Linked DNA regions of Nothobranchius furzeri. The main gene of each other region encodes a partner of the protein of the gene in region 2 in a complex. Links are inferred from orthologs where the notes say so. Each region holds a gene or a part of one and is shown on either strand. Other genes may lie near its edges.

The links. Proteins that work in one complex are often made in the same cells at the same time.
Region 1: odad3 (region 2) and clxn share a complex: the UniProt entries of both Homo sapiens proteins name them as parts of the outer dynein arm-docking complex. The link is inferred for Nothobranchius furzeri from reciprocal best matches to the Homo sapiens genes ODAD3 and CLXN.

What each region holds. Positions count from the first base shown.
Region 1 is NC_091743.1:68,488,589-68,493,865, forward strand, and holds clxn (calaxin), read right to left. Parts: upstream 3,436-5,277; 5' UTR 3,251-3,435; coding exon 3,178-3,250; intron 3,059-3,177; coding exon 2,900-3,058; intron 1,837-2,899; coding exon 1,732-1,836; intron 1,655-1,731; coding exon 1,503-1,654; intron 1,419-1,502; coding exon 1,314-1,418; intron 1,230-1,313; coding exon 1,182-1,229; 3' UTR 951-1,181; downstream 1-950. UniProt on the Homo sapiens protein: Component of the outer dynein arm-docking complex (ODA-DC) that mediates outer dynein arms (ODA) binding onto the doublet microtubule. Seems to regulate the assembly of both ODAs and their axonemal docking complex onto ciliary microtubules.
Region 2 is NC_091746.1:25,113,720-25,118,323, forward strand, and holds part of odad3 (coiled-coil domain-containing protein 151), read right to left. Parts: intron 3,644-4,604; coding exon 3,518-3,643; intron 3,430-3,517; coding exon 3,307-3,429; intron 3,171-3,306; coding exon 3,021-3,170; intron 2,919-3,020; coding exon 2,758-2,918; intron 2,635-2,757; coding exon 2,478-2,634; intron 2,410-2,477; coding exon 2,260-2,409; intron 1-2,259. UniProt on the Homo sapiens protein: Component of the outer dynein arm-docking complex (ODA-DC) that mediates outer dynein arms (ODA) binding onto the doublet microtubule. Involved in mediating assembly of both ODAs and their axonemal docking complex onto ciliary microtubules.

The DNA.
Region 1 (5,277 bases), on a different chromosome or scaffold from region 2:
AGTTTACTTTTATGTTCATTTGGTGTTGAAATTAATTTAGCTTTGTTCATTGTCACAGCTAATAACTATAGATACCACAGCATCCCCTACTGGAACACTTTTAATTAGCAACCATGAGAAATAGCTATCATTTCAAATCAGATATACAGATTTAGTGTGGGACGTGTTTGGAAAAAAATATATAAATATATATTTGTTTCTCTTCATGTATAAATGAGCAGCAATCATACTAACACTAATAGGCAACATTTTGAATGTTAAAAAGAACCAGTTAGTTTTCAGATGATATGTATTTCTTATGTTGAATGAATAACACATAAAAATGCAGCGGAAATTCCCAAATTAATCTTTAAAAGTGCATGTGAACTGTTAATTGCTTAAAATGTGTTATTTTTGTTTTTATACAACATACAAACTTCAAAGTTTAAATGAGCAGACAATCTGATTTTCCGTGGATCCGTATTTGGTGCTTCCTTTCACCTGTTGCAGTTTTTATTTGTGGTTTAACTGATAGCGTAAATGTTCTAAACTCTGTTTAGAGTTTGTGTGTTCTCCTCAAACATGAATCATTCATTCAGCTTTCTCTCACAGTCTGAAAACACACATTAGTATAGCTGGTGATGTTAAATAGTTGTACGTTGGTTCATCAGTGTACAAACCACCCCCACAATCTGTGACCCCAAACAGGGGTTACAGATTGAAAAAGACTCTTGAAATATACTTAAAATACTCTAAGTTTTATTTAGTGAGATTTCTGCTGTTGTTGTTGGCTATTTCAGACTAGTCGAACCTCAAGAACATGAAAAAATTGTAGTAGTTCAAATTAAGGTAAAACAACATTAACAAATTTATTAAAACAAAAAACTAAAGATGAACATTTTAAAAACTAGAAATGAAAATTAGGTTGCTACTAGGGCTGGGCGATGTGGCCTAAAATTAATATCACGATATATTGAGGATTTCACCTTGATAACGATAAATGGACGATAACTACAGGTATGCGGCTATGCGCAGAAACAAAAGTTGTCCACTAGATGGGGCTGTCACGTGTATTAGTTGAGTCGCAGTTTTACGTGACTCAAGGTGGTACAGCTTAGCCTGGCAAGCCAGACTAAATAAATGACTAAATGAATGTCTTCTGATCATAAGATCAGAAGGTTAAATTCGTGTAGGAACGAAGGTTATTCCAGGCGCTTCTGAAAAGCCCGCTGTTGGAACTTCCTGGTTGTCTGAAAGGTAAGAAAGCAGACTGTAAATTACACAGTTTAAGTTGCTGATTCTGAAGCAGTAAGCAGCCTCTAACTTGTGATCACCATGGTGTCTGGAAGGCAGGGTCCAAAGGCCTCAAGCAGCAAATTCTCCTTTTTTACGGCTGCTTCAAACTCCTCCAAAGACACGAGTCCATCTTTATTAGTGTCCTGTGGGTGAGAGGATGCAAGAATTATTTTAGCTCCTAACTAATGAGAGCACGTTGAAACTAACAGATGTTGAACATCTCTTACCATCCTCTTCATCGGGATCTCCACGAGAAATTTTACTGCTTCCTCAAGGTTCTCCTCTGGGGGCAGTCCAGGGAGGGTGTCCTTCAGGAAGTAGAACATTTCCTCTCTGCTCATTTCCCCATCCTCGTTCAGATCGTACACAGAAAATGCATCTGAATGAAAAAAGAATCAGGCTGTGAGTCTAGATTTGAGTTTGTGGGCGTGGGTTAGAGAGACGGGGGGAGCTTACACTTTATTTTTTCTTCCAAGGTCCCACGAAGAAACACTGTCATTCCCTTCAGCCACTCTTCCAAACTGAGGAAGCCGTCTCTGTCTTTGTCAAAAACCCTGAAAACTGAAAACACTCTAAAAACACAGTTTTCTAAAAAATACTTACCCTTTAGTACTAAAGAGTTAAATTTTCTAATACTCGTTAAAATTACCAACAGTTATAAAAAAACCTGCTCTTTTTAATTCTGTGTTTTCAATTTGATTCGTGTTAAAACATCTGCTGCAAAGTCACTTCAATAAATGTGTCTTTAGCAGGTTTTTGTCTGTCTGTTTGTTTTACAATAAAGTTTTGCGTTAGCCATTGTCTCAGGATAAATGTGTTTTAAACAGGCTGCAAAATATATCAGATTTATTTATCCATTATAGATTATTGCCAAGTTTTCAATTTAAAGTAGTTCAGATCTTTAGAGGAGGATTTCTGTCGAACAGTTCCAAACAAAAAAAATGACTCACCTGTTGGTCTGAATGACATTTCATTAACATTGTAAACGGTCATGTTAGCACATATGAAAAACGTGCATAGTATGGCTTAAAGTGTGCAGTTTGCATATATTGGTGAATATTGAACAACTTTGTTGCCAAAAGTAGTCGTGGACTTGGTAAAAGTTGTGTGACTCATAAGAATGCTAATTTGGTGTCCCCTAGTCATGTGGTTAGCACATCTGAAAACTGTCTTGCAAAAATGTGTCTTACTAAAAAAACAAATAAAATTTCACCAGCCACCACTGTTTAAGACAGCAGAAACAAATTGGAACTGGTCCCAGTCAGAATGATCTTTGTAGAATCAAAACTGGTCTCTGTTTCTCCTAACCGAGGCTGTTCAAAGAGCTACAAGTATCAACTAAAAGGAAAAATGTCACAGAAATGTCAAAATGTCCTGTTAATCTCACATACACCTGTCAGTTGAACACAAAGGTCTTTTCAGATTATAACTTTAACCCTAACAGAACAAATGGGTCCAATCCTATTTAATAATAACCTAATTCAACATTCAAATAAAATGTCTGACCAGTTTCAATTAAAACATTTACCAAATAAAAATGTGTTGGGAATAATTAAAAGGCAGTCTAAGGATAAATAGACAGCATCCCTTTTGAAAAGGGACTGCATTCTGGAATGATACCTACTTCCATCTGTCATCTTCTCCTTGGACAACCTAAACATGTCGTGGAGGTAGACTTTGAACTTCAATCGGTCCACTCCGTGTTCCTCTGTGCCCGGCTTAACCTTCTGCCCTAGAAGCTCATAAAACTCCAGGATCAGGCTCTCCGTCTCCTTCTTCTTGACTAGCAAACACAGATAATCCTTGTTTACGTTGTGTAGCTGCTAGCTAGCTGCCACTAGCTTCTTCCGTCAACAAACCGAAACAGCGGGGTCAAAAGAAGTTTAAAAAAGTTCTACTCACAGTGTTTATCCTTTTCAGTGATTGTTTTTGCTAATTCACGAATCCTTCTCTTGTTCATAGCAGTCAAGTCCATGTTGGAGGAGAGAGTTCGTCACGTGCTCCGAGATAAACTACAAAGGTGATGCATCGACATATATAGTGATGGAGGTGATGGAGCGTTTCTATGGTAACATCAACACAGCAGCTCTCGTACAATCACAGTTGTTTGTACGTCCTTTATTTTACCAGGTAAAATGTTCGAGTATCATTGCAAACATAAGCTGGCCGAGATGTCTCGCAGGTAATTCAAAAGAAAATCACACTTGAGCAAATAAAAGGAAATAAAACTAATGACAAAGCATATGAGAATAAATAAAAACATAATAAATAGAATAAAAGGCAGGCATTAGAGAATTCTTAATCAACAACTGGAGAATGTTTGCAGGATTAGACATGCAAACAAGAAAACTGTAGGCTCGCCCCCAAGAGATGGCAAAACACAAATTACCGGTACATAACCCGGGGACCATTTAGTTCTATTGCTTTGAAAATTATTAGTTTAGCTTATGTTATCATTTATTTATTTGCAAGAACTTCTTGATTTTTTTTCTTTTCTTTTTTATGTTTCATGCTTTTCAAGTTCTCTTTCTTTTTTATTTTTTCACTTTTACTTCTCTGAATTAAAATCATTAAGTGTCTTGCAGAGAATATATTTTAGCTGTTTTGTGGTTTCTGTTTGGTTGCGTGCATGTGTGTGTGTGTATACCGTATATACGTCGATGGTGCATACAGTGTTCAGCATAAATGAGTACCCCAAGTTCATTTGTCAGAAAACCTTTAGATTCCTTTCAGAATCAAAATTTTCTATGAGATACCATACCACAAAGTAATGTGGGCCATTGATTGCAAACAAGATTTGTTCATTTGCTCACACAAAAACGTGATTTTCCTAACAAATTCATTCAGGCCTATGTTGCAAAAATGAGCACCTCAATTATAGTCTTCAGAGAAAAGCCACACTTAAGAGTACAAAATTTAAATTAACAGGCATTAAATCACAGGTGAGTCTAATGATTCATTTAAGAGGTGTCCAGCAGACAGGTGACTATAAAAAGGCTGGCAGCAGTAACAAAAAAGTGCTACTGATTAAATTCACACTTTTATAAGGAGTGTACTCATTTATGCTGAGCACTATATATATGTGAGTGTGTGTGTGGCTGGTGAGAAGGATGTTTGGACTTCTCTGCCCTGGCTGCCATGATCAGATAAGCTGAAGATAGCGTTGGTGTGTGAATCACACAAATGCCTGCAAATGCTCCCTGAGAAATGTGTGGCTCTACGTCATGTTCAATGGCTGTATTCCAGCAACAATCGGCAAAAACATTTCTGTTTGCAAACCTCTTCGAGACAGACTGCCTTTGTCTTGTTTCTGCTGCAGTTAGGTGTGGGTTTGGGTCAGTACCTCAGACAAGACACAGCAGGATGCTCCAGCAAACATCTTCTGACATAGAGCTGTGCTTTCTCTTCGTGACAAGTCAGCAGATGAGGGAGACTTTTTGTTTCTGTCACAGTTAAGCATGAACTATCTTGGCTCAAGGGCCGGTTGTGGTGCAGAGCAAGATGTGCCTTTGAACAAGTGTTTAACTGCATGTGTGGGTGCACACAGGACATAACTGAGGTGATCTCTGGATTTGAATCATCAGACATCCTGGACATGCCTCCAGTCCATCATGGGGACACAGAGACAAACAACAAGTCAAATACTAACCCACACCAAGAGACACGTTTACAGTCTGCTTGTTTTTGGTCCGTAGGATGAAAACAAATGTGAAAAGACCACAGCCGGGATTTGAACCTGTAACCTTCTTGCTGTGAGGAAACAGTGCTCCACCCTGCAGCCTTAAAGTGCAACATAATCACCTCAATTTGTTTAACTATCATGTTTCTATGCTCCACAAAAAGAGCCACCGCTTTCACTGTTAAAATATATCTTTATTAGTTTCATTACAAAGTTGCAGCACTTTTGCAGACGATGCTAACCACGGAGATGTTTCCACTCAAGCACAGACACGTACAGCATGTAAACAGACACTATTAGTCAGAACATAAAAACAGTAAAAT
Region 2 (4,604 bases):
ACATTGGTTTAAATAGCGCGAGACGCGGTGACTTGAGCGGCTGTGCCGCGCGCACACACACACACACAGATTCAATAAGCGCACACGCTGCTTTAACTCCGGCCCGCCGTCAGACTGAAGGCAGAAATGAACGCTGCCTCCACCGTGATAAAAACTTTTAAGAGGTTATTTTTCATTCAAGGTCAAATTAAGATATTAGCTTCTGGGATGAGTCGGGTCCGCTCCAGCCAGTGACTCCTCATGAACCTGACCACAAGTCCACTGCAGCATTTGTTATTCCAGTCCGCATGACAGCGGATCGCAGATTCAGCCACACCATAAAACAGCAATAAGTCGGTCTGAGGTAAAAGTGAACATCATGGCTATATCTTGTCCCCTATTGACATTTGATTATGCACAAGTAGGTGATCCGTTCAGGTTTACGCAGAGCAGAAGGAAGGAGAGCGCTCTGGCCGCACAGGTTAAACGTTCCTACTTTAAGAAAACCGTTAAATTGCATTGTTTATGTGCTACCTGGGCACTCTAAATATTTATTCAAAATGAAATCAAAGGAAATTGTAATGGTATCGAATGCTTATTATTTACTATTTAAAAAATGAAAGTGATGGGGAATTATTTTAACCCTTTCTGTTTAGCTTGACATCTGATATATATATATATATGGTCGGGACATAGAAGGGGGTGCACGGCTAAATAAGTTTGGGAACCACTGGTTTAGGTCATACTTTTGTAACAGGTCTGCTAGGGTCATGTTGGATGGCTGTTCATCCGAGTCACAGCCTCTACGTTGGGGTGTCCCACAAGGTTCAATTCTCGGCCCGTTACTGTTCAACCTCTATATACTGCCCTTAGGAGCCATTTTCAGAAAGCACGCTGTCTCATACCATCTTTACGCTGATGACTGTCAAATCTATTTTTCATTTAAGCCAACTCAATCAACGAAAGTTCTGTCTGATTGTATCCTTGAGGTCAAGCAATGGCTAGCTGATAACTTCCTCCATCTCAATGACTCCAAAACTGACTTAATCGTTTTCAGTCCTAACAGTACCACGGTGACTCATCAACCTGACCTCAACTATCTCTCACCTAATGTATCCTCTGTAATCTCCAACCTTGGAGTAAAAATGGACCAGGCTCTGAAGATGGATGTCCAGGTCAATAACACAGTTAAATCATGTTTTTTCCAACTAAGACGCATCTCAAAACTAAAGCACATCCTGAGTGTCGGTCTTCTGAAATCTGTGGTCCACACTTTCATCACCTCTAGGCTGGATTACTCTAACTCCTGCTTATACGGCATCAGTAAAGCAGCTCTCTCTAGACTTCAACTGGTCCAGAATTCAGCAGCTAGGTTGCTGACTGGAGCTGACAGAAGACAACACATTTCTCCAATTCTGAAATCTCTCCACTGGTTGCCCGTGCAGTTCAGGATAAACTTCAAAATTATGCTTCTGACTTACAAATCCTTGAACCATCAAGCTCCTCCATATCTGTGTGAACTTGTCCATTACTACAACTCGCCGCATGCTCTCAGGTCTGAAGATAAGCTCCTCCTAGCTGTTCCGAATGCTCGTTTACAAAGCCGTGGAGAAAGGGCTTTCTCTGTCTGTGCACCGAAGCTGTGGAACGCATTACCACTGCTAGTGAGGCTAGCACCAACAGCTAGCATTTTTAAATCACGCCTGAAAACTCACTACTTCAACCTAGCTTATACCACATAATTATGAACCTCACTTACATCTGCATTGTTTAAAAATGGACTTCACAATATCAACTTCCATACTATATTGAGGTTCTTTTTTAAATGTTTTTCTAATTTTTATTCACCCTGTGTCTTATTGATTTTTAGCTGTTAGCTTTTGGGAATTTTGTTGTATTTCCTTTTTATCTTTTATCTGTGTTCGACATGTTTGTATACCGCCGGTTTGATTAACTAACATTTTTAGTGTACAGCGCCTTGTTTGGTTGTAATGCCTTGTGAATGCGCTTTATAAATAAAATTGGATTGGATTGGATTGGAGATCTAACTGAAACTAAAAAGCTTTTGATGCCTAAATATTGTCCCTAACCTCCAGACGGTGTATAACTGTGATGACAGAGTTTGAAATAAATGAATGTAAAGCATCTTCTGGGTCATAATTGTTATGTGAGGGGTTATTAAATAACAAAACATCTGCTTTACAGCAGCTCGTCAAATCTGTGTTCGATCCTGTCGAGCTCCAGATGTGATGGCTAGAGTGTACTGAAGCTTTTTCTCACCTCGTCTTCTCCCATCTCCTTCATGATAGCAGTCAGATCTTTCCCCTCAAACTCCTTCTGCAGCAGCTGCAGCTGTAGCTCGCACTGGGCCAGAAGCTCCAGCACAGCCTCCTCGGAGTCTGGCTGCTGCGCAGTAACTCTGCCCGCGCTCTGGAACGGGAACGGTGACAGAAAGACTGCAGGTATGCTGTGTGTGCGAGCGTGAGCAGGTGTCTTACCAGAGTGATGTGCTGCAGTTTCTCTGCCAGGTGCTCCACTCCTGCTGTAACGGTACTGAGGGTTGTTGTGAGCCAGTCCAGCCGCTCCCTGGCAGAGTCACACCTCTGCTGGTGAGCCTGAAGCTGAAGCTCGGCCTCCTCCAGCTTCTGCTGCTCACTAATGAAAGCACAAAGACAAAAAAAGGAGAGTCTAAAACAACCCTTAGGACACACGGGTTCCTTCAACCAGAGAAACAAAAACAGCTGGTCAGGGTTCTCATAGGGTCAACGTGAGTCTCACCATGACAGCTTAGCATCTCCAGAATACTCCTCCTCTTCAAACCGCTGGATCAGAAGCTCCCTCTGCTCCTTCAGCTGCAGCAGGGCCTCCTCGTTCTCTTTCTTCAGCTTCTCCAGATGTTCATGCATCTCCTTTTGTGAGGTGAAGCGCTTCACTATCTCCTAAACAAACAACCAGAGAAATGATCCCAGCTTCAGCGTGAGGTGTTTTTAGATGAGAAGAAGGTGAAATCTGCTCCCTACTGAAGATCAGATCTCAGGTACCTGCACGTCCGTGGCTCCGGTGGTCTCCTTGATGCGTTCGAAGGCCTCCTCCAGAGCAGAAAAGGCCTTCTCCTCCTCAGCGGGGATCCTAGTGGTGCTGTGCTGGGCCTCGCTGCTCAGCTCATCTGGCTGCAGAGGTGTTCTCTTCACCTGCAGGCCACCCGTTTTAAATGTCAGCACGTGTTTACAACCAGTGTCAGAGCTGAATCCCATCCTAACTTACTGAATTCCACATTTTATGAGACCATGGACAGAATTAGACATCTAAAAGCAGCGATCATCTTACACTTCTTTCAGTTTTTCCAGTCTCTGCCTTGTGCTCTTCAACTATTTTCCTGTAACTTGTTATTGCTCTCTCCCTCTCCTTACGCTCTCTGGACAGCAGTTCGTCCTGCTGCTGGAACGCGGCCTGGTGGAAAGACAGGGGGACAGAATGAGACATGCAAAGCTTCACCAGGATGCTTGTGCAAAGCGAAGAGAGGGAAAACGCTGATCACCTTTGCAGCTTCTTCAGAGAGCTGAGCGTCGTCCCTCATGACCTGCAGGCTGTGAAGCTCCTTTCTGTACTTCAGGATTTCTGCTTCCAAGCTGTCCAGCTGGCCCTGGAAGGTCAGACTCTCATCCTGCAGCAAAAGGATGCCAATTCTGGGTCAGCACATCGTAGACGTAGATTTCAGTGGTTCATTTTTATTTTTAAATGTATATTCTTTGATTTTCCATCGAATTTAAAAGGTATTTGGTGTGTACTAGTTTTAATAACACTAGATTTAATGAGCATGTTTCTTTTGTTGTACCCATGTTTCAAAGAGATGGGAAGACTTGCCTTTAGTGTTAAAGCCCCACTGGACTGGAATAATTTACCTGTCGAAATATGATCAATTACTTCTTTTCGATTCTTTGGAACACTGTTTAAAGAGCAAGTCGCCCCCAAATCAACTTTTTTCCTGATAAACGATATAAATGCGTGTCTAATCGTGCTGCAGACACGTGTAGTCAATAGTTTTGCACTTTAGTAGCCTGGTGAACTAGACCAAATTCTTGCTTTGCAAAGAATAATACATTTATTTAGTCTGGCTTGCCAGGCTAACACTTTAGTGCATTTTAGTTAAAATTTTAATTTTCTGCCTAAAACTGTCAGTGTTGTGCCGTTGTCAGGTAAAAACTCTGCCCTGCATTTGAATTTAAATCTGCCATCGCTATTGGCTAAGAGGTGCCCTAGGACATTAGCTGGTACCATATGATGTCACAATGTCGTTGTGAGCCTGTGTGTGTGTGTGAATTTGTTAGCAGCTCCGCCCCCTCGGTCTGCTAGGCAACAGCATTTGTGGCATTTTTCAAACAGGTGGGAGTTGAGTAAGAATCTGGTTGGGGGTGACTTGCTCTTTAAAGAGCAAGTCATCCCCTACCAGAGTCTAACTCCACTCCCACTTCATGTTTGAAAAATGCCACAAATGCTGTTGCCTGGCAGACCGAGAGGGTGGAGCTGCTAACAAATGCACACTCACACAGGCTCACAACAGCACTGTGACATCATAATGTACCAGTTTACATCATAGCATACCTCTTAGCCAATAGCGGTGGCAG